Caenorhabditis elegans: one gene and its partners. The protein of the gene in region 3 interacts with the protein of the main gene of each other region in a pairwise test. Each region holds a gene or a part of one and is shown on either strand. Other genes may lie near its edges. The genes, in order: wts-1, gdi-1, C47D12.2 and col-120.

Region 1 (7,625 bases), on a different chromosome or scaffold from region 3:
AATTCATTTGAGCAAAAAAAAAACGAACGAAATAGTGTGGCGACATGAGAGAAAAAGAGAAAAGAAAAGAGATATTAAAAATATCTCGAATTCTGAAAACCGTATCGAGATCATCACAGAATTAGTAAAGAGGGTAATTTGGAAAATTAAAGATAAAAATAGAAGCAAAATGAGTAAAAAATGATACTAAAACATCACATTAAAATCATATATAATATAATCAATAAACAAATTCATGCTCTTTTAAATATGAGACGATGAATCTTCTTCCGACACTGACTCATTAAAAGTTCCGTTTTCAAGTAATGGCCGAAGTGACCGACGACGAGATGGTCGAAGTGATGGGCAACCAACAGAATCCGTATCAAAGAAATGACGATAAGTGAATTCATAGAAGGCTGGATTATGAAGACCTCGCACATTCGGCTTGTCAGCACGGTCATTGTCCTGGAAATTTGGAATTAGAAGTGTGATAGGTTTTGAAAGAAAACTTTTCAAGATTCCAAATTTAAGTTAAAAATTTGAGTAGTGAAACTCAATTATGTTTTTATTGGAGCTGCTATGTATAATAGTTTCAGAAACTCCACAATTAATTTACTTTAATTCAAATAAAAATTCTGTATTTCAAACTCAAATATTCATAATTTTGATGCTATCTTTTTTATGTCTACATACATAAAATTATATCTAACTTTTTTAGACACTCTAAACAAAGTTTAAAAGGAAAAACTCACTTGAAACGTTTCAAAATTAGAAGTGTCTTCATCGTGAGTGACCCGAGGAATATAAATATAATCAGCTCTCAGTTTTCTCAAGTTAACCCAGTCAATTCCCCTGAACCATGGATGATTTTTGACTTGTGCCGTTCGTTCGGCAACATCCTTCCCGTGAGATCCCAATCTTGACGACGCGTCACAAATTAGTTGCTGAAAAAGTTTTGGTCTTCACAACGTCTATTTAAACAAAAAAACTTACTTGAATCATCATAAGGCACTCTTTTGATAGATTTCCACAATATGTAAAATCAAGGAAGTTTCTCCAATTCTTAATTCGATGTTGTGTTCCACCAGGTGTATCATCATGAAATGGCACTCTTCCAAATACCATCTCATACAAAATCACTCCAGTCGACCACCAATCACAACTCTGATTGTGCCCGGTTTTGGCAATTACTTCGGGTGCCATGTAATTTCCTGTTCCAACAAGAGAATGGGCGGTTATCCGGCGGGTTTGTTGTCGAACATTTAGAACTTTAACGCTTTTATCAATAGCTGCAACTTCAGGAGGAAGCGAGAATGAATCGACACGATGATGGTCGTTTTCAGGTCCATAGTATCTAGAAAATATTGGATGGTTTCATGTGTGACTTAAATATTTTTTGCACAGATGTTGAGCACACCAACTACAATTAATCATTTGCGTCGCGCCTAGGCTCTATTCCATTAGACACCCTCTCTTTCTCGTGACAAATAAACAATACATAATCTTACCTTCTGTCATGAGTCCACCTCAAACCAGTGCACAATCCAAAATCAGTCAACTTAATATGTCCATGTTGATCAATTAGAATATTATCCGGTTTCAAATCTCTATGAATAAATCCAACATTATGAACATATTCAATTGCACATGCCAGTTCAGCAATGTAGAATCTAGCGAGATCTTCTTCAAATATTCCTTTTTGAATCAATAAAGTCATCATATCTCCTCCGGGAACATATTCCATTATGAAGTATAGACAAGCATCATCTTGAAATGAGAAGAAAAGACGAACAATCCAAGGAGAATCAGCTTCTGCCAGAATATCGCGTTCGGCTTTCACATGGGCGGCCTGAAAGAAAATGGTGTTTTTAGTCAAAAAGTTTTGAAATTATTTTTCGATCATATCGCTTTACAGTCACATTTTAAAAACTACTAGACTCACAATATATCTGATATATTTTCCTACTAGTAGCAAATATAGAATCAATTAAATTAAAAAAAAAAAACCTAGAGTATCAAAAATGTTAGACTTTGCAGTTTTCTTACTTTCTATTCAAGGTTTTATTTCAAACGTAGGACACCAATATTTTCAAATTTTTAAACCAAGATCCTAAACAAATAACAAATCCTACCTGTTGTTTCATTATGACATCCGCTTTTTCCAAACTTTTCATTGCATAAACCTTCCGAGTATCATTTTTTCGAACCAATGAAACTTTTCCAAATGCTCCAACACCAATATGTGAGATGACAGTGAAATGGCTTTTACTCATCTTTTGTCTTCTTAATCTCGTATATTTTGACTCTTTTTGTTGAAGTAATCCCAGCATTTTATTCCTCATAATATCCGGTAATTGAGCTGAAACCATCTCCTTTTCCAACTGTTTCATTCGTTTTTCTCGTTCTTTATATTGCTGTAGAAGTCGTTCAACATGTTGTTCCATATAAAATCGAAGCATATTTGGTTTACATGGTTGAACTCTTCGTGTATTCTTGATGTATGGTTCCAAAAGTGTTCGATCAATTGGGGAGCTGACTCGTTTCGGAGGTGGCTCACTGGGTTGATTGTATTGAGGAGGAGGAGGTTGAGCACGTGATTTCATTGTGATTTCGAGATTTCTTGGTTTGAAAAGGATCGGCCGGAAATCTTCATGATTTGCATCGGAAGTGGATGGAATCAGGCGAGGGTCGGGACGCAGCTGAAATCATTTTATTTTTAGGGTTTATCCCCGAACTTTATAACAATTATTGTTCTATTCATAAAATTCAACTGGGCTCTCGAAACCGATTCTAAAGTAGTTTTGCAAATTTTTGCTGATTATGGGTGTCTGCGAAGACAAAACTTTTAGTCTCTTATATTTTATGAGCTCTGTCAAAAAAATGACTCTAGAAATATCAGTTAAATATTTCAGAAGGTAGGAGTTGAATTTTTCTCAAATTTACCTCATCTTTATAGTTGACAAAATTCTTCCTATCGACATCAGCTGTATACCGTGGACCAATAATGAATGATTTGCTTGGAAGAGGACTATCACCAACATTTACTTTTGTCTGAAATTAAAAATGAATTTTAATATCATTTGAGGTCATAAAATACCGTATGAGGAGAAGCAACATTGATACTAACAACACTACTAGCTGTTTTTTTGTCCATTGATGTATGATAAAGTCTCTGGATATTATCTGCTTTTCGTTCTTCACTCCTGAAAAGTTAAAGCAAAAGATTTATAGAATCCTTCTGATATCGTTTAGAAAACTTACATTGTCTCGATGGAAATCGTAGATTTTGCTGGAGGAGGCGGTGGGGGTGCCATATTCTTGTTGTGATTGAGCATTGTTGGATTCGGTGGTGGCGCTTTTACAACAGGATGAACTTTCATATGCAGGTGAGTACGGTAGTTGTCTGTTGCAACTGGAGTCATTCTAGTGTTCACCGGAGATGAATCGTAGGCTGGTGGAGGTGGTCGAGACTGAAAATTTTCATTTATTAAAGTGTCAGGTCTGCCTACTAGGGGTGTTTGTGTGTACTTTATTGGACTCTTTAATTTATTTTACAAAAAAAATTTCAGAAGTTATGAACAGGTCACAAGAAGGTCCCCCTATTGCTTGAACTAGGAGTATTTTTCAAAGAAAGTTTTGGTCCATTTTCTTTTCAGCTTAAACTTTCAAACTTTGTCAATTTGGAAGTATATTTTGTTACTAATTTTAGTTGTTCACACGTGTCTCGCCGTTGATTAAAGTGCCTTTTCAGTTTACGGGTGCACTAAATATTATCAAATATGTGACCGAAAATGTAGCCAAATCAACAGAAAAACATGGAACGAACGACCAAAATATGAAAAGTGATAATCGCATTGACAATTTGGACTTTTTTCAAAACTGAACCACCGCAAACCAATTTTTTTAAAACAAAATTTTAAGTGGGACTTCTCAGAAAAAGTACTTTCCGATTCTTTAGTATTATATTTTTTCGAGAACAACTTACATATCCTGGTGAGTATTGTGGTGCATTGTTATTCATATGATATGCAGGAGTTGGCATATCATATCGATATCCAGCAGGATGTATCCTAATCGACTCTTCAGTTGTTGTAGAAGGTGTTGATGATATAGTTGTTGATGGATTTCCATTTCGAATCATCTCTTTTCCACTTCGAAATACTGTCTCATTGGCACCAGTATCCATCATTAAATGTCTTTGTGGCATTGGTGTTATCCGCATCTTGTGACCACCACCTTCTGTCTGAAAATATGATTTTTTCACTTTTGAACCACCACCCTTCACCACTTTTGAAGATCATAAATCGATTCATAGTTGACAATTTTCATAAAATCCCAAAGTTGAGCTGAGCCACCTATTTCATAATTTTTTATTCAATAGAATTTCTAGCTAGTTTGCTACAATTCCATTCTTTTTTTTTTCGAAGAAAAATATGACGCTTTCGGCCGGTCTATGTATAAATTTCAAAAAAGTTATGTTTTTTTTGGGCATACGAACTGACCTAGACGGAAAATTTGACGGACAATTTTCCCAGCCAATCGAATTTTATTTTTTACTCTCAAAATGTTTTTCCATTCGATTTCCAGGACCATTTTTGATTAAAAAAAAAGAAATGTGACTCACTCTAAAAGAATTCGAATTTGATACAGCAGCGCTCGAGACTGTCGTCGTCGTCGCTGCTGCATTTGAAGAAGAAGACGAAAAATTCATCACTTCCGCATTGTCATTGGTGATGTCAGAATGGCTGACGGAAGAACTTGACGGTGTTGCAAGTGATCCAAGAGCCACGTGACTTGATAATAAACCGGCTTCATGTTCGTAAGCTTTCAGCGATTCGCGAATTTCGTCGAGTTTTGCACGATGACGCCCCACGCGGATTTCCTGGAAAAACAATTGGTTTAATTAGTTATGCCAAATTATGGTACCACTGCCCAGATGCGAATTTTTTAGAATTTTTGTAAAAAAAGGATTTCTTTAAAGCAAAAAACTTTGCGTTTCTATGGAAGTTTTCAATGTTTCAACACTGAAATTGTACATTTTTCTGAGCAATTTATATATTTTTCATATGAAAAATACTGATTCATTGATTACGAAACTATTAAAAGGTGATGCTTCTAAATGGAATTTTAGGTGATTTCATTTTCTTATCAAAACCGCCATTCCAAGTGATAACGTCTGCCATGAAAGCCCCGCATTGTCTCGGAACGCCAAAGTGTTGAATAAGAAAGGGTGAAGTAATTTTGAGGATTTTTTTTTAAATTTTAATGAGTTCTACGAATCTTGAACAGATTTTGAAATTCAAATCAGGAAAAAAAAACATGGAACTGCAAAAAAAAATGATTTGCGATTATAGATGTATTTACAAACAATAGCAAAGCCAATATAATTTAAAAGAAGACCTTTTGAATAGGACCCCACAAAAAATTTAGCAACAGAAGAGCATTTTGAACTAGAAAAAATTGGTCCGAAAATGCTAGAGGTAATTTTTAAGTTAAATAATTTTTTAAACGGAAATCTGAAAGCATTTTGATCGAGTTGATTAGGGGGAGAACATTTTTAAAAATTTTATTAAAACTCCTAGAATTTTCAATTGCTCTTAATCACTGAAAAACAACATGTCTGCAAAAAATAGCTTTTGGAGCAAGTCTACAGCTCTCGAAAGTTGTGAAAAGAGCACTAAAAAGTTTCAGATCGTGACACTTTGCCGCTTAAAATTTACAACGATCTAGTTTAAAGGTCCTCTTTCAAATGACACATGGTTCAGCTGAAAATCTAGGGAGTGATCAAGCCAAACAGATCAAGATCTGAATCAATAACCCAATCACTTTTCCAAACCAAAACCTACTGAATTGTGATGGGCATCTATCGCTGAATTAGTAGAGCCAAATGGGATCGGAGCAACTCCACGTTGATGTCTGATATCAGAAGATGCACCATTTGGAGTAGTACCAGGGGCAGCAGGTCGCATTCCAGGGGAATACAATGCAAAGGAGGGCCTCCTGCCGAACACTGACAAACACACACACGGAGAAGGCGATGGGAATGGATTGAAGTAGAAGAAGAAGAAGGTGAAGAGATAGAATGAAATGATGAGAGAGACAGTGATACAAAACTTTCTGTGTCTCTTATCGTTATGTGGTCTCTTTGCTTCCCGCCGCTCTCTCTCTGACTCCCGCAGGAAGAGGAGAAAAGTCTTTACTCTCTTTTGCAGGACATCTCTCTTTGTCTTATTCTCTCGTGTTGTCTCTTCCAACATTCCTCATCCCTCGTCACTCTAACATCTCTCCCCGACTCTCCAACCTTCTAGTGCTCATTTTCTGCCGTTTAGTTTCCAACACATTTAGGACGCCTGTGTCTCGGAACCTCTCGCCGTATCATCAGCGGCCATCATCGCCCGTCGAAAAGACATACTTGCCGGTATCCCCCCGTCATGTCATCCAGCAGAAAGCCTCTCATACGGTAAGTTTTTAGAAGCTTTTTATAAAACTCTGTGTTTGAACAAATATTTTTAAAGATGTTTTCCTGTTTAAAATTTGAATTGAAAGCCGATTTTGAGAACAACTTCGAAGTGTTGAAAATTTTCCGGATTCAAAAATGTGCACAATTTGTAAAATTCACCAGCTTTACTGAATTTAAAACAAATTTTTAACATCTGTAGAAAAGGGGTGCTCCTTGCCCTCGCCGGTAGTGGAGAGGCACTCCAGGCGCCCCTGTTACTGTCGACTGTGCCTGCGTACTTTTGAGAATATATATTACCTTCAACATCTATATTTTAAATACTGAATATTGGAATTTTCCGACAAAAAAATTACTCTGGCTTAAATTCTCAACCAAGTTTTCAAATTGTTTCTGTAATTTTGCATAAGACCCAGTAAGTGCTATAGTACATCATCAGCTTTTGTAATTGAATTAGAAATACGTACTCAAGTGATTTTAGGTTAAAACTGGAAATTGGAGTTGTAATTTTTTCACTGGAATGATAACTCTATATATTACTACTGAAAGAGTCACAACTCTGTAGTTTTTCTTATTTAAAATGCAGTTTTGAAAAAATAACAGTAGACATAAGCTTGATACTCGAATTTTCTTGTATTGACTCAGTTTTCTGTGTTTTTATGAATTTTGATGATTTTTTAAATCAAACAACTATGCATTTCCTCTAATTCTACTACAAATCCCCTTTAATCTCCGTTTTTTTGCATTCGTCAGCCTATCAAAAATCGATGTCTCTTTCCTTTTTGTATCTATGACATCCACGCAGTCTTCCGTTTGCATAAAAACGAAACGGTGCGCCGCAGATGTCGCGTGGCTTTTCCCTTTTTTGTAACCATTAAACAAACATATAGATACATAGAAGGACAACGTTTAAATAAATATTCAATTTTTTTTCTTTCAGGAGCAGTTCACACTCGGATCGTCCTACTACAATGAGGAATTGGCCCCTTTTTGTATTTCTTATTTGCCTGGTAATATAATTAACAAGAAGTCAATGAAATTATACACTTTTTGCAGGTATTATTCTTTTACGCATTCTACGTATATCAAGCTCAAGGAGAAGTTTTATCCCAGACAAACGAAGAAGTTCGACAACTATCCGCCCAGCTGAGTCTCACCAAAGGAAAGCTTGTTGGTTAGTAATTTT
Region 2 (4,147 bases), on a different chromosome or scaffold from region 3:
AGAATATGGAGGATTTGTACAAAAAGATGATGCAACGTGTCGATGATCAGCTCGATGCTCTGCTTGTGATGGCTTAAACTGGGATTTTTTCTTTAATCAATTATGTAAAAACATATATGCTTATTCTTCTCCAATTTTCAAATGGAAATGATCTCCCTTCATCAAATGTAATCCCATCCTATCCAAACTTTCTGATCGTGATAATAATTGTATTTCTGTAATGAAGTACTTCAAAAGGATAAAGTGATTTATAGATTTACGAAGCGGACTTTGTTTGGGAATTGTAAAGTTAAATACAAAGGAAATAGTGGGAAGAAATTTTGTTTTCGGGACGAAAATTGAAATTTAAAAAAAGGGTTCTCGGGGAATCACATGAGGATAGAGACTGGAAAAGAGAAAATACAATAAATTAAAATCGGTTGAAAATGAACATTGGACAGGAGAAACAAACGGAACGGGAATCGTTTTTTTTATAGAGGCGACAAAAAAGAGCAAAAGCAGCATCAGAAGCGTCAAATCAGAGTACTCAAAAGAAGGGAATGGATATTCAATTATTCCTGATCATTCAACGACAAGTGAGTGATGTTGGTGAAGTCGAATTCTTTGGTCGTTCCACGTTCGAACATGTTGAGCACGTCCTGAAAAATGAATAATTATAATTTCTTTCAAAAATTGTTTTAAATTCTTTAAATTACCTTGCAAGTGGTTTCAAAGTGAGTCGTAGCATCATAAGATTGAGAGATGAAGATCTGTGACTCAGATCCCAAGTCAGATGGCTCATAAACATCGGAAATCTGAATGAACTTCTCGGCAATTGCGCCAAGAAGTTGAAGTCCTGGAAGAACTTCAGCCTCTGGATTGGCTGTCTCGACAGTGGTGGAGACCATTGCCAAATACCATCCCTTTGGTGTCACCATGTTCGTGTTGGAGCAGCATGAGATGTAGATGTCTGAAAAAAAGGGAATTAGTGATGCTGAAAGCGTGAGTTTTGCAAAAAGCAGCGAGTCGCACAGAAAAAGAGGCGGAGAGTAAATTGGCAAACCGGCGGCTCGGTTTTTCCTCCTTTTAATTTATTTTTCAATAAAGTTTCAATTTTACCTAATTCTCATAGGATCGTGAGACTATTTTAGTCTTCGGATAATTAAATTCGATAATATTTTCATTCAAACATTAACAAAAAAAGTAGGAAAAACCCGTGCCGCAAGATTGCAAAATTACGCCCTACCTCTTTTCTGTGCGACGCGCTGCTTTTCCAAGACTATAAATTTACCATAATGTCTTCCAACTTGCTTTTGTGGAATGATAATCTGGCAGGATTGAGCATCATTTGTATTTGGAATTGGATGGTTCAACAAACAAATGGCTCGGACAACTTGTCCAGTCTTCTTGACACGATCCTTGGCGTATGAGGGATCGCAGTAGATCTGCTTTCCACGGACAATCTCATCTCCACACTTGACTCCAATAGCCTTTCCATTCTCCATCACAATCTCGTCGACTGGCTTGTCGAGCATGTAGGTTCCTCCGTAGATGGCCGAGAGACGAGCGAATCCCTGTGGAAGTTCTCCCAATCCGTACAATGGGTACAAGTATGGTGACTTTCCATAACGAGCCAATGAGTCAGAGTACAATCGGATCTTCTCAACAGCTGGAGCGTATGGTTGATTCTTGTGCTCATCGTCACGGTAGAGGGCCAGCGCGTGTCCGGTGAAATCGGCGGTGTTCTCGTCAAGGCCAAACTTCTCGTAAACCTGCTGCATTGTGCTGTTGTGTGGGTCAAGTCCTTGCCAAGTGTCCTCCTTGTTCTCATCGAATTGTTGCACCCAGACGAGGAACTTCTTGAAGCGACGTTTCTCGAACATTCCCATAAGGGAAGTGGCAAGAGCCTCCATCTCATCGGCCGGCACCTTGTAGATCTTTCCACCCTTCACAACGAACGAGGCCTCAATCGACTTGAATTCCAAGTAGCGAGTGACTCCAGTATGGATGAGAAGCTTGACCAATGGCCCGTTGGCCATCAAAAACTTTGGAATCAAGTCGACGTTCCAGTCACGTCCACGTCCCATCTCCTGTTGTGGCTTGGCTTGTGGACCGTGGAATTTCTCGTAGAGTTGCTCAAGTGGAGTCAGTGAAGCTGACTCTCCTCCATAATAGTTGTTTCGGTCAATGTGGAGAACCTTCTTTCCGGAAACCGACAGCATTCCCGAGATGATGCACTCCTTGAGGCCGGTTCCGAGAACGATGGCATCGTATTCCTCATCCATTTCGAGCGAGTTTTTCGGGGAATTGGTTGGAACTCCTGAAAATTGATCGGATTGTGATTTGGAAAATTGCGGGGAAAGAGAAACTGAAAGAAAAGTTGAATTTCAAAAAGGAAATTTTAGAATTCAAGAAAATAATTATAAAAACTGAAGAAAGAGAGTGAGAGGGAGGGAGGGAGAGACGCAGAGAATAAAGTTGTTGAAAATCAGATATTTTGCGGGTAGATCAAACCCAATTGTTTGACATTTAAAAGAGTTAGGTCTCAAATTATTTTTTTTTTTGAAAATTAAAAAAAATAGCACCAGTAACATATGGAAACATGAAAAAAAAACTAGCAACACTAAACAAAAAATCTTCAAATCTAATTCTTCACTGCCAAAATTCCGTAATTACACTGAGTCGATTCGATCCATGTCCAGTGATTTCCAACCGGATGAAACATTAATCCATGCACCGCCGTCACCCGGCAACCCGCTTTTTCGAGATGTGAAGTGAGCTCGGCGGGTGTGATGAATTTTTCCCAGTCGTGGACTCCGGGCGGCACGATTTTGAGTACATTCTGAAAATTTTCAAATTTATTTCCAAAAAAAAAAGAAAGAAAAAAATCAAACCTCTGCAAGCCAAATAGCTGCCAATTTGCTCAGCCACGTTCTGTTGATAGTTGTGATGAAGAGCGGGGCACCGGGGCGAGCCAGCTCAGCGAGGCAGCCAATGAATCCGGGAAGATCGGCGACGTGTTCGACAATTTCCGAAGCGACGACTGCATCGTAGGCTGGAATTATTGAAGATTTTAAGGTAAATTGCTAAAAAATACAGAAAAGAATGGGGAAAAGATGTGTTGCGAAATATTTTTTAACTTTTGAGTAGATTGGAAGTAGAAATCAATAATTTTCGATTACTATTCAAGAGTACGTAGGAGTTTCACAGAACTTCATCAAGTCTACGCAAGAGTTTCATTTCATTTAAGACCTTTTCTGTGAAAGTTTTCAGTCAAGTGACTTCAAAATCGTAAACAACTCAAAAAATAGGTTATTCTAAATAATTTCACCAATTGATTCGTATAATCGCAGTAAACATAATAGTTGAAAAGATGACGTCAGCTGTCCTAGCGACACGTGGATCGAGCTTCAAATGGCCGAATCGCCGACATAGAATGACACGTGGCAACGACGAACACAGGGGCGCCCAGTTAGGGAATGTTTGTCATCAGAGACAGCAACAACCAGAGAGGGTCTACGAGATGATGCTGCTGCGTGTGAGTGTGAGTGAGAGTGAATTTGAGCGCTCATTCCCTTTCTCACTCACTCTCTCCGCGGTTAACCCCAAACGGGATGGCGGTCGAAATGAGCGTCCAAAATGGACTGAGAGAAGGGAGCGACGGCGAGAGACTGGAGAGATCAAATAACATCTGAGGACATCTGGGTTGGATCTAGTATTATTCAAGACTTCCGAACTGTAATAATATCCAGTTGAGACCTTCAAAATTGAAGTCTAGGACATCTAGAACTGAAAGTTCGAGAACCTACAAGCCATAGACGCAGACACAACCGGATGAGGGTGAGAACACGAGACGCAGAAATGTGGGGATTGTTGTGTTGGCCCACACATCGAAAAGGGGGGGGGGAGAGAGAGAGAGACACAACACCGAAGAAGAACAAAATCGATAAAATGTCCAAGAAGAGGAGAAGCCGGACGGGTGGAGGAGGAGAAGACGGCGAGCAAAATAGGGAAATAGAGAACAGAACAGAAGAGTTGAAAGCTTTGTATCCAAAATTATTCCAAGGGGGCACCGGAAATCGAATTGAATTGGGTTGGATCAACACTTTTTTCAACAAAAAAGAAAGGAAATTCGTCGAGAAGACTCAATTTCAAGTCAACTGTGAAG
Region 3 (5,325 bases):
TGTGCTCTTTCATTCAATTATATGCTCAAAAAGTGGAAAAATGCTCCGCCGATTCTTGCTCGTCTCGTTCCATTTGCTGCTATTGCATTCGCCAATGCAATTAATATTCCTATGATGAGAAACAAGTGAGAATCAGATTAAAAGACATTTTAATAATTTATTTGTTTCAGAGAATTTACAAATGGAATTCCAGTTGAAGATGGTGAAGGTAGAACAATGGGATTTTCAACAGTTGCACCTGGTCATGCTATTCCACAAGTTGTGCTCAGTCGTGTTGGAATGGCGGTTCCAAATATGGTTCTAGGACCAGTGATCTTGGAGCAACTTTCCAAAACTGCATGGTATACACCTGGAATGGCTGCACCTCTTCAAACATTGCTCTGTGGATTCATGTTGGCTTTTTCCACACCAATTTGTTGTGCTCTTTTCCCACAGAAAAGCTCAATTCAAGTTGATAAGCTGGAGCTTTCACTTCAAGATCATATCAACAAGTTGGCAAATCCCCCGAAAGTGGTGTACTACAACAAAGGACTCTGAACTCAATTAGATAATAGATTTATTGTACATTATTATGGTATCTTATGATCATCACATGAATAAGGCCACTTATCAATATTTGCGTCCGAATAAATACTACCGGCATTATGCTTACCGATTAATAAAACAATTTGAGGGTCAAGCAATACTTTGGGCGTTAAATATTTTGATTCTTGATGTTTCGAAGTAGATTCCCGAATGTTGAACAGATAGCCTCCAGACGTATGGCACAAAGAAATCGACAGTGTACTCATCCTCCACGTATCGGAACTTCAATTCTGGGAACTTTGCGAGTCGATCGGTTGGCCATATGTTTGCCTCCTTCTCGATTATTTGCAGCATTGTGGATCCATCGCCTGCTGGGACATGTATCACTTTCGACGAGAAGTGAGAGATTACTGCTGCGATGTTAACAAGAAGATCTTGGAACATTGGGTGCTGAACGTATGCATCGAATAGAGCACGATGGTAGAGAAGGTTGTAGATGAGGTGTGAATTGTGACGGAGTCCTCCACAAAGTGCACTGTTGATGATCTCAAGGAGAGTTCGAATTCCTTCTTCGAGAGCAGTAATGTCGTCATGCTGAAATATTATACTTTTTATTTGGATTTTTGAACAAAATATGAACTTACGAAATTGATCGGCTGTCCATCTGCAACATCATTCTGACTGCTGACTCTCATATGATCCACCATTTTAGCATGCCGTTTTGTTAGAAGATCAAGCAGTGATATGAGTCTTTGGCAAACAATTGGAGCAAGATTTTTGAAGAAAGCTGACATGTTTGCAAGAGCAGCTAAGCAGTTTGTGTGAAGATATCGGTCCTGGAAAAATTTGAGTTTGGTTTAAAAAAAAACAAAATTTTGTATCTTCAGGTAGCAACTGTCGGTTTTTCGCTTTTTCAATTGTTCGATTTTTCGATTTTTAAAAAAGGAGCTTGATATATTGGCCATTATTCTTCTTTTTAGATGAAACTTTTATGTTTGTTCTTATCAATATAAACAAAATTAGATAAAAAATCATATTTTATGGTTAATTTTCTGAACATTTTTTTCGATTTTTCGATTTCCACTGAAAAACGTCAAAAAATCGAAAAAAAAATTGAAAAATGACACCCTTGGTAGCAACAACTAACTCTAGTTTTCAAAGCATTCTTCTGAATTGCTCGAACCAGCACAAGAGTTGTCAAACCTCCGAGAGAGATCTCGCGGACACTGAAATCACTGTCCAGCCAGCCGAGATCCTTGATCATCTGCAAATATATACTTCAATATAATCTTAGCATTTCTAGTGAAAACTCACCGTCTCGTGTATAATCTTGCAGAAAATATCATCTTCACTGAGAATCAAGGCGACAATCAATGCAAGATAAACATGGTGAGAGTTGTTCGATGTCGCGACACCGTCGTGAAGAATTCGAAGAACAGGAACAACTAGATTCTCGAGGTTGATCCGAGACAACACATAGTTCCGGAATCCCGAGTTCGCCTGTAGAAGCATGTAGAGTAGAAGCATCGGAGGTTCCTGGCCAGCGGTAGCACACAATCTTTCGTATAATCCATTATAATCGATTTTGAACGACACAATCTGAGTAGGCAATGTGGATACTTCTTGAGCATTTTGGAAGAGAGCAAGGGTTTCTTTGAATGGATTGGATGAATTGAGAGGTTGATGGCATGAAAGATTGAGGAGAAGCAGGATGCTTAAGTTTCCAAGAGTAAGTGGGGGCTTCTTTTCTTCCTCTGCGGAGTCGATACCAGTTGCCATTTGGACCATTGACCACATTGATGCTTAAAAATCGTGTTTTTTTTTTAATTTAATAAAGAATTAAAAAAGATTTTCAGTGACATACAAGCTAATCCAAAAACAATGCTCTCTTGTGGCTTTTGTACAGTCATGTGATACTCTGAATTGTGGATCAAATAATTGAGAAGAAGAGTTTTAGTGAGCGAAGCTGCGTGTTTCGCACATGATCCATCAATAAAGAATCTGAAGACAATTGAAGTATTCACAATTGATTCATTATATAGTTGAGAGCTCAGGAGAGTTAGGAGACATCGAACTGCTTCGACATGGATTGCCAATGTTGTTTCGCTGAAATTATTTTAATTCAATTTTTTAAAAAATAATTTAAAACTCACTTTACAGAAATATTGATTAAAATCGAAACCAGCTCATACGTGAACTCTTCTGCAGTGTTTTGAAAAACTATCGGGATATATTTTGTCGCTGAAAACGTCAGAATTTGATTATTATTGAATTTTTTTTTTAAATGAAGCTTATTTACCTCCATTATTATTTTCGTTTTCTGATTTCTGTTCGTCATCATCTTCCTCATCCGACGAGGAAGATGTAGACGACGATTCGGTTTCCGTACTCTCATGACTTTTGGCGAAAATCCTCACGAATTCTTTTTCCGTCATACGTTGAGTTAAAAATCTGGCGATGTAACGAAGAATGAGAAGAGCGTTTGATGTTTGCCATAAGTAGATTTTACTGAAATAAGAAAAAGCTTTAATTAAATATAATGATGATTTTTTTTTCCAACTCACTTTTCGCATTGTTCTGATGTTTTTAGTTCTGTGGCTCTGCGAAGGAAAAGTCGAATAAATGCAGCGAAATTTCCTGTTGTTTGTGTATTGTACATTAGACATTGAAGATGATCATCTAAAGCAGATTCCAAAGCGATTCGGGTGTCTCTAAACGATTATAACATTTTTAAAGCTTTTGCCTAATTTTAATCCTTACTCGTCGTCATCATCAAACTTGAGACTGAAAGAGAGAAGTTTGTTCCAAAATGGGTCATAATCGTCGACAGGTTCCAAACCGCTGAGTTTCTTCAGATAAATATTCTCCTGTAAGACCGTTTCCTTGGTTATAACTGATCCCATGTGTCTGAAATTTGTTATTACACTGTTAATAATCATAAAAATAAAAGAAAAAGTCAAGAAAGGGTCAAATATTAATCAGGTCACATCTTTTTTATTCAATAAAATCTCCTCTCTCGTTCGTGGCAATGCACGTGAAATGCGCCAACAACCGCGAGTGCGCCAACACACACACATACGCGTCAGCAGACAATTCGCTCTCGTTTGAAATTTAGTTGTTTCTTTGTTTCTGCTGAAATAATGTCAGTTTTCCGATAATTTCAGCGTTTTCTGACTGATTTTTCTTGTTGCATTCACTTCCTAATAGTTCATTCTACTCCATTCTTCATTTTATAATCTGTTTCCTTCGCAATTTAGTGAATTAAACACGTAAATCTTGTTTCAGATAAATTATTCAAATAGTTGCACAAAGCTCAATAGTTTAGAAGTATCTTCAGTGCTGGTCACTAATACAAAATGGATCCGGCTATGGCTTCTCCAGGCTATCGGTCTGTGCAGTCCGATCGGAGTAATCACCTAACAGAGCTGGAAACGAGAATTCAAAATCTTGCCGATAATTCACAAAGAGATGATGTCAAATTGAAAATGTTACAAGTTAGTTTCAATAATTCGTGTTAAGTAATCAATTTGTTCGGTTGCAGGAGATTTGGAGCACAATCGAAAATCATTTCACACTAAGTTCGCACGAGAAAGTCGTGGAGAGGCTCATTCTCTCGTTCCTACAAGTTTTCTGCAACACAAGTCCACAGTTCATTGCTGAAAACAATACACAACAGCTTCGAAAGTTAATGCTTGAAATCATTCTTCGACTTTCGAACGTAGAAGCCATGAAACATCATAGCAAAGAAATTATCAAGCAGATGATGAGGCTAATCACCGTGGAAAATGAGGAGAATGCCAATTTGGCTATCAAAATTGTCACCGATCAAGGGAGAAGTACCGGCAAAATGCAATATTGCGGAGAGGTTTCACAGATAATGGTCTCCTTCAAAACAATGGTCATTGATCTGACGGCGAGTGGTCGAGCTGGTGATATGTTCAACATAAAAGAGCATAAAGCTCCACCGTCAACTAGCTCCGACGAGCAAGTCATCACTGAATATTTGAAGACTTGCTACTATCAACAAACGGTTCTTCTCAACGGAACGGAAGGAAAACCGCCATTAAAATACAATATGATTCCATCAGCTCATCAGTCAACGAAGGTGCTCCTGGAGGTTCCGTATCTCGTGATTTTCTTCTATCAACATTTCAAAACAGCGATCCAAACCGAAGCGCTTGATTTCATGAGGCTTGGTCTTGATTTTCTAAATGTCAGAGTTCCAGACGAGGATAAACTCAAAACAAATCAAATAATAACCGATGATTTTGTCAGTGCACAGTCCCGATTCCTGTCATTCGTCAACATTATGGCTAAGATTCCAGCGGTAAGTTTCGTTTTTTCAAGTTTTTTTTCTGTAATCCTGATTTTTATTTTTCAGTTTATGGATCTTATCATGCAAAATGGACCGCTTCTAGTGTCGGGAACAATGCAGATGCTCGAGCGGTGCCCGGCTGATCTGATAAGTGTCCGACGAGAAGTTCTGATGGCTTTGAAGTATTTCACATCTGGAGAAATGAAGTCGAAATTCTTTCCAATGCTACCTCGACTCATCGCTGAGGAGGTTGTTCTGGGAACAGGATTCACTGCGATTGAGCATTTGCGAGTTTTCATGTATCAAATGCTAGCAGATCTGTTGCATCACATGCGAAATTCTATAGACTATGAAATGATCACACAGTAAGTTTGAATAAGACTTTCTGATGAAAAATGTTGAAATTTCAGCGTGATTTTCGTATTCTGTCGCACTCTTCACGATCCTAACAACTCTTCTCAAGTCCAGATTATGTCTGCTCGGCT
Region 4 (3,595 bases), on a different chromosome or scaffold from region 3:
ACTAGAAACAATGAAATCCGATAAGATTTAGATTTAAATATGCTTAAACTGAAAACAATTTGATCTCTTTTAAACTTAGAAATTGATTATTTACCTTAGATTTGTCAGTACATATATCATGAAAACGAGAGTTTTCAAATAAATTGCTATACTTTAATTTCAAATCAACAAACGTTTCTAATGATTTTAAATGTTGAAGAACATGACGTAAATTTCAATTTTGGCTCATTTCGGAGAAGTATGGGCGATGATAGTTGATTTTTAACAGTTTATATTAACAAAATGTGTAATGCAAACCGATTTTTACAAAAATTAAGGTCGGGAATTCATTAAATAAAAATTTAAAGTAAATTTTAAACAAAACGTGCAAAAATTAAAAAAAATAAGACGCAAAAAATAAAATACGAGCAGCGTCAGAACGGAGTATTGTAGTTTTTTATGTCTGTGTCTCTTCGTCTTGCGTTGTGTTTCGCAGATAGGTCACTGTACTTTTTGAATAATTTAAGTAAATAGTGCTAAAAGTGTTCATTATTTACAGAAACTAAATCTAATCAACAAAACAGATAAAAATTAGTATCCAGGAGCAGTTCGTGGAGGTGGGCAGTGTGAACATTCTCCCTTTGCTCCCAAAGGTCCTTGTGCTCCAGGTTCTCCATCAGCTCCAGGTCCTCCTGGTGCTCCATCAAATCCTTGGTCTCCAGGTGGTCCTGCTGGTCCCTTGTTTCCTGGTCTACCATCATTTCCACGTGGTCCTTGCGATCCAGTAGCTCCAGGAGCACCACGAAGACCTGGTGGACCTGCTTGGCCTGGAATTTCGTTAACTGTTCCGGGCATTCCATCGTCTCCACGTCTTCCAGGTCGTCCATCTTCTCCATTTGGTCCACGTTCTCCCTGCTCTCCTGGTCTCCCGCATCTTCCATTTCTACCAGGCATACCATCCATTCCAGGTCGCCCAGAATTACCCTGAGGACCTGGATTTCCTGGTGGCCCTGGTGGTCCTGCTGGGCAATCAAGCTCAATTTGTGATCCATCAGAAGACGATTCTCCATCCAAATCTTGCCCATCTCGTCCAGGTTTTCCGGCTGGTCCATCTATTCCATCTCGTCCTGGTCGACCTGGGAAACCTGCTGGCCCAGCAAGACCAATTCCACAGCTGCAACAAGAATCGGAAGAAGATGAAGAAGAAGTGGATGCAGCGTCGTATGGAGATGGAGCTGGATGACTTCCAGAAGCTCGAGAGGGGGAAGAAGCTAATATTGAATTAGTTTCAAAAAGTCCCACAAAAGTTACAAGTTACCTCCATATCCAGCTTGTCTTTTTACTGGCCCTGAACCAACAGCCTTCGTTGATTCATACATATTTTCCAGATTCTTAGCCCCGTCAACACAAAATCCAACCTAAAAATGCAGAATAAATACCAAAATGTGAATAGAAATCACTTGCATCAGTTTGAACAGAGCTTTGAATATATTGTAGATATGTGTAAAGCCCAGGAATTAGAATAATGCACATGATTCCAGAAGCAGCACTGAAAATTTCCAGCTTGTACTATTCTGCCACGTGGAAATCGGAACATACCTGACAACAGTCGCCACGAAAGCAACTTTTCGAAGTTCATCCTCTTCAGAATTCACTAAATTCTTCTTCAAATTCATTTCTTCTTCCAATCACCTAATCATTTTCAACTGTGTTTTATATCATTCACGCTTATCACTTTACTGTTTTATTACAATCCTACAACGGATAGAACACGTTAAAAAATAAGGATAATTGATAGCAAGTCAAAGATAACATTACACATTATTAGTGGAATGGTTCAAAAAACATCTGGAAAAGGGAGGTAGATGTGATTTAGATTGAATCGTAGACTTAGGATGAGGTTTACATTGGGTAAAAACCAGTTTCGATGGAGAAATGTCACAGAAAATATTTAATGAGATAGGTGGAGAGTGGAGGAAATTTTACATTTTACACATATAAAAAACAATCAGTATTCGGTTAAATTACACAGCTTGATCATCCACATACATCAGTCGCCAACGGCTTGGATTTGAAATGTCGAGCAGGAAGAATTGATTATTGTCCCAATTATTCAACATGGGTTGATTGAACATTACACTGATCTTTGGTGAAATTCCGAAAAGAAGCATTCCGATACATTGTTGACCACAGAAGTCTTGAAGTGCCTCTTTTAAGTGTGCTTCATCACGGAGATTGATTCTCATTGGAACATAGAGATGCTCATCTGTTCCATCATTTTTAGAAAGGAAGAATTCAAAATGATGAGTCGGAGTCGTAGTAGTTCTTGGATATCTGTTCGGTTCTCCTTTCCACAGTTTTCTCAATTTTCTGGCAAGCTCGAAAGTTGGCTGGAACATCGGATCTCTTCTCAAATCATGTTCTTCATTCGTCAAATCAGTAGCTTTTCTTTTGATTGCTGGTTGTCTATATGAAGGTGAGTCGTAGTTCTCTGTTGGAATTATTAGTGGAGCAATTGTGGCGGTCTGCAATGGCTTAAAAATTATTATAGAATAAACTTTCAACACTAAGTTGACATACCAAGTTTGGAGACATATGCTGTGTGTATCTTTCAGGAGTGAATTGTTCGTTTTTCACCATATTTGACATCTCCGTTTTAATATTATTTAAAAATGGCATCTGCGCAAGGAGCATTGAATGAGACGTCATTGGAGCAGTGGCCGAAGTTGACTGGAGAAAAGACGCGACCCCAGAAGATGTGGGTATTGAGCCATTCTGCATTGCTTGCGCATAAGCTGCTCGAGCCGCCACAATTGATGATGCACTTTGTTGCTTCTGTTGTTCTTCTTCTTGCTGTTGAACGAGCCTCTTTGCAGCTGCTTCTCTATCCGCAACTTGCTTTCGGATCTTTCTTCGTTGATTTGGATCAGCAACATTTCCAACTATGTAGACACGATTTCTTTCGATATTCGTTGGGTCCAATCCATAAAGTCTAACTTCTTCATCTATTGGTGCACTGTGATTGTGCTCATGGATAAACGTGAGGATCTTTTCAGTAACAATATCCGTATGCATTCGTGCTTTACAAGTGTTCTTGTATTCACATCTCCAGAAATATTTCTTTTGACATGATGAAAGCTTGTCAAATGTCATGAAAAATCCGTTTGAAAACACTTTCAGACGAGTTTTCTTTGGGATATCAGTACGTGGAGAACCTGCATCTCTTTTAGCAACCGCAGTGGATCCATTGGCGAGAGCGGCGGTCAATAATTTTGACATGGTGAGGCCTGCGTTGTCTCCGAATCCACCGGCACTGGCACTGGCAAGAAGTGCCTGTAAAACAGCGTTGTTCTGAAATAACAATCAAATGAAATAACATCTTGGATAGAGGAAACTTACTTTAATAACGCTAGACATATCAATTCCGCTCGCGAGCAACTGGTTAACAGGAGCAGATGTAGATGCTTGGGACACAATCTCCATTGGTACAGCTGTGACAGAAGTCGATGGTTCGGAAGTTTCGGCTTCTCCATCATCGGATCTAACTTCAGGAGCATCCGCAAGACTTGGAGCATTAAGAGAAGACGACGACGGAGGGGATGGAGAAGATATGTTG

Evidence for each region.
Region 1: the proteins of C47D12.2 (region 3) and wts-1 interact in a two-hybrid assay, tested with the Caenorhabditis elegans proteins (one large-scale study listed by BioGRID).
Region 2: the proteins of C47D12.2 (region 3) and gdi-1 interact in a two-hybrid assay, tested with the Caenorhabditis elegans proteins (one large-scale study listed by BioGRID).
Region 4: the proteins of C47D12.2 (region 3) and col-120 interact in a two-hybrid assay, tested with the Caenorhabditis elegans proteins (one large-scale study listed by BioGRID).

The regions. Positions count from the first base shown.
Region 1 is NC_003279.8:10,291,896-10,299,520, forward strand, and holds the start of wts-1 (Serine/threonine-protein kinase WARTS homolog), read right to left. Parts: upstream 6,033-7,625; 5' UTR 5,952-6,032; coding exon 5,829-5,951; intron 4,865-5,828; coding exon 4,607-4,864; intron 4,226-4,606; coding exon 3,968-4,225; intron 3,453-3,967; coding exon 3,244-3,452; intron 3,186-3,243; coding exon 3,080-3,185; intron 3,034-3,079; coding exon 2,926-3,033; intron 2,682-2,925; coding exon 2,115-2,681; intron 1,832-2,114; coding exon 1,491-1,831; intron 1,337-1,490; coding exon 976-1,336; intron 927-975; coding exon 735-926; intron 448-734; coding exon 244-447; 3' UTR 184-243; coding exon of another isoform or gene 1-183. Other genes in the region: T20F10.2 (Si:ch211-1a19.3), read left to right, coding at 6,414-6,442, 7,380-7,449, 7,496-7,613. UniProt on the Caenorhabditis elegans protein: Phosphorylates yap-1 which may negatively regulate yap-1 nuclear localization. Plays an essential role in larval development.
Region 2 is NC_003282.8:14,790,587-14,794,733, forward strand, and holds gdi-1 (Rab GDP dissociation inhibitor), read right to left. Parts: upstream 2,265-4,147; coding exon 1,226-2,264; intron 950-1,225; coding exon 696-949; intron 639-695; coding exon 552-638; downstream 1-551. Other genes in the region: melo-1 (RRM domain-containing protein), read left to right, coding at 1-77; coq-3 (Ubiquinone biosynthesis O-methyltransferase, mitochondrial), read right to left, coding at 2,624-2,821, 2,874-3,034.
Region 3 is NC_003280.10:11,674,413-11,679,737, reverse strand, and holds C47D12.2 (Dymeclin), read right to left. Parts: upstream 3,433-5,325; 5' UTR 3,429-3,432; coding exon 3,286-3,428; intron 3,237-3,285; coding exon 3,090-3,236; intron 3,034-3,089; coding exon 2,825-3,033; intron 2,767-2,824; coding exon 2,679-2,766; intron 2,632-2,678; coding exon 2,390-2,631; intron 2,328-2,389; coding exon 1,840-2,327; intron 1,790-1,839; coding exon 1,673-1,789; intron 1,362-1,672; coding exon 1,170-1,361; intron 1,120-1,169; coding exon 676-1,119; 3' UTR 541-675; downstream 1-540. Other genes in the region: sfxn-1.4 (Sidoreflexin), read left to right, coding at 1-125, 171-537; trr-1 (Transcription-associated protein 1), read left to right, coding at 3,882-4,019, 4,067-4,852, 4,907-5,205, 5,251-5,325.
Region 4 is NC_003282.8:9,260,099-9,263,693, forward strand, and holds col-120 (Nematode cuticle collagen N-terminal domain-containing protein), read right to left. Parts: upstream 1,690-3,595; 5' UTR 1,656-1,689; coding exon 1,579-1,655; intron 1,529-1,578; coding exon 1,444-1,528; intron 1,398-1,443; coding exon 1,298-1,397; intron 1,251-1,297; coding exon 571-1,250; 3' UTR 512-570; downstream 1-511. Other genes in the region: flh-1 (FLYWCH transcription factor 1), read right to left, coding at 2,004-2,513, 2,560-3,330, 3,379-3,595.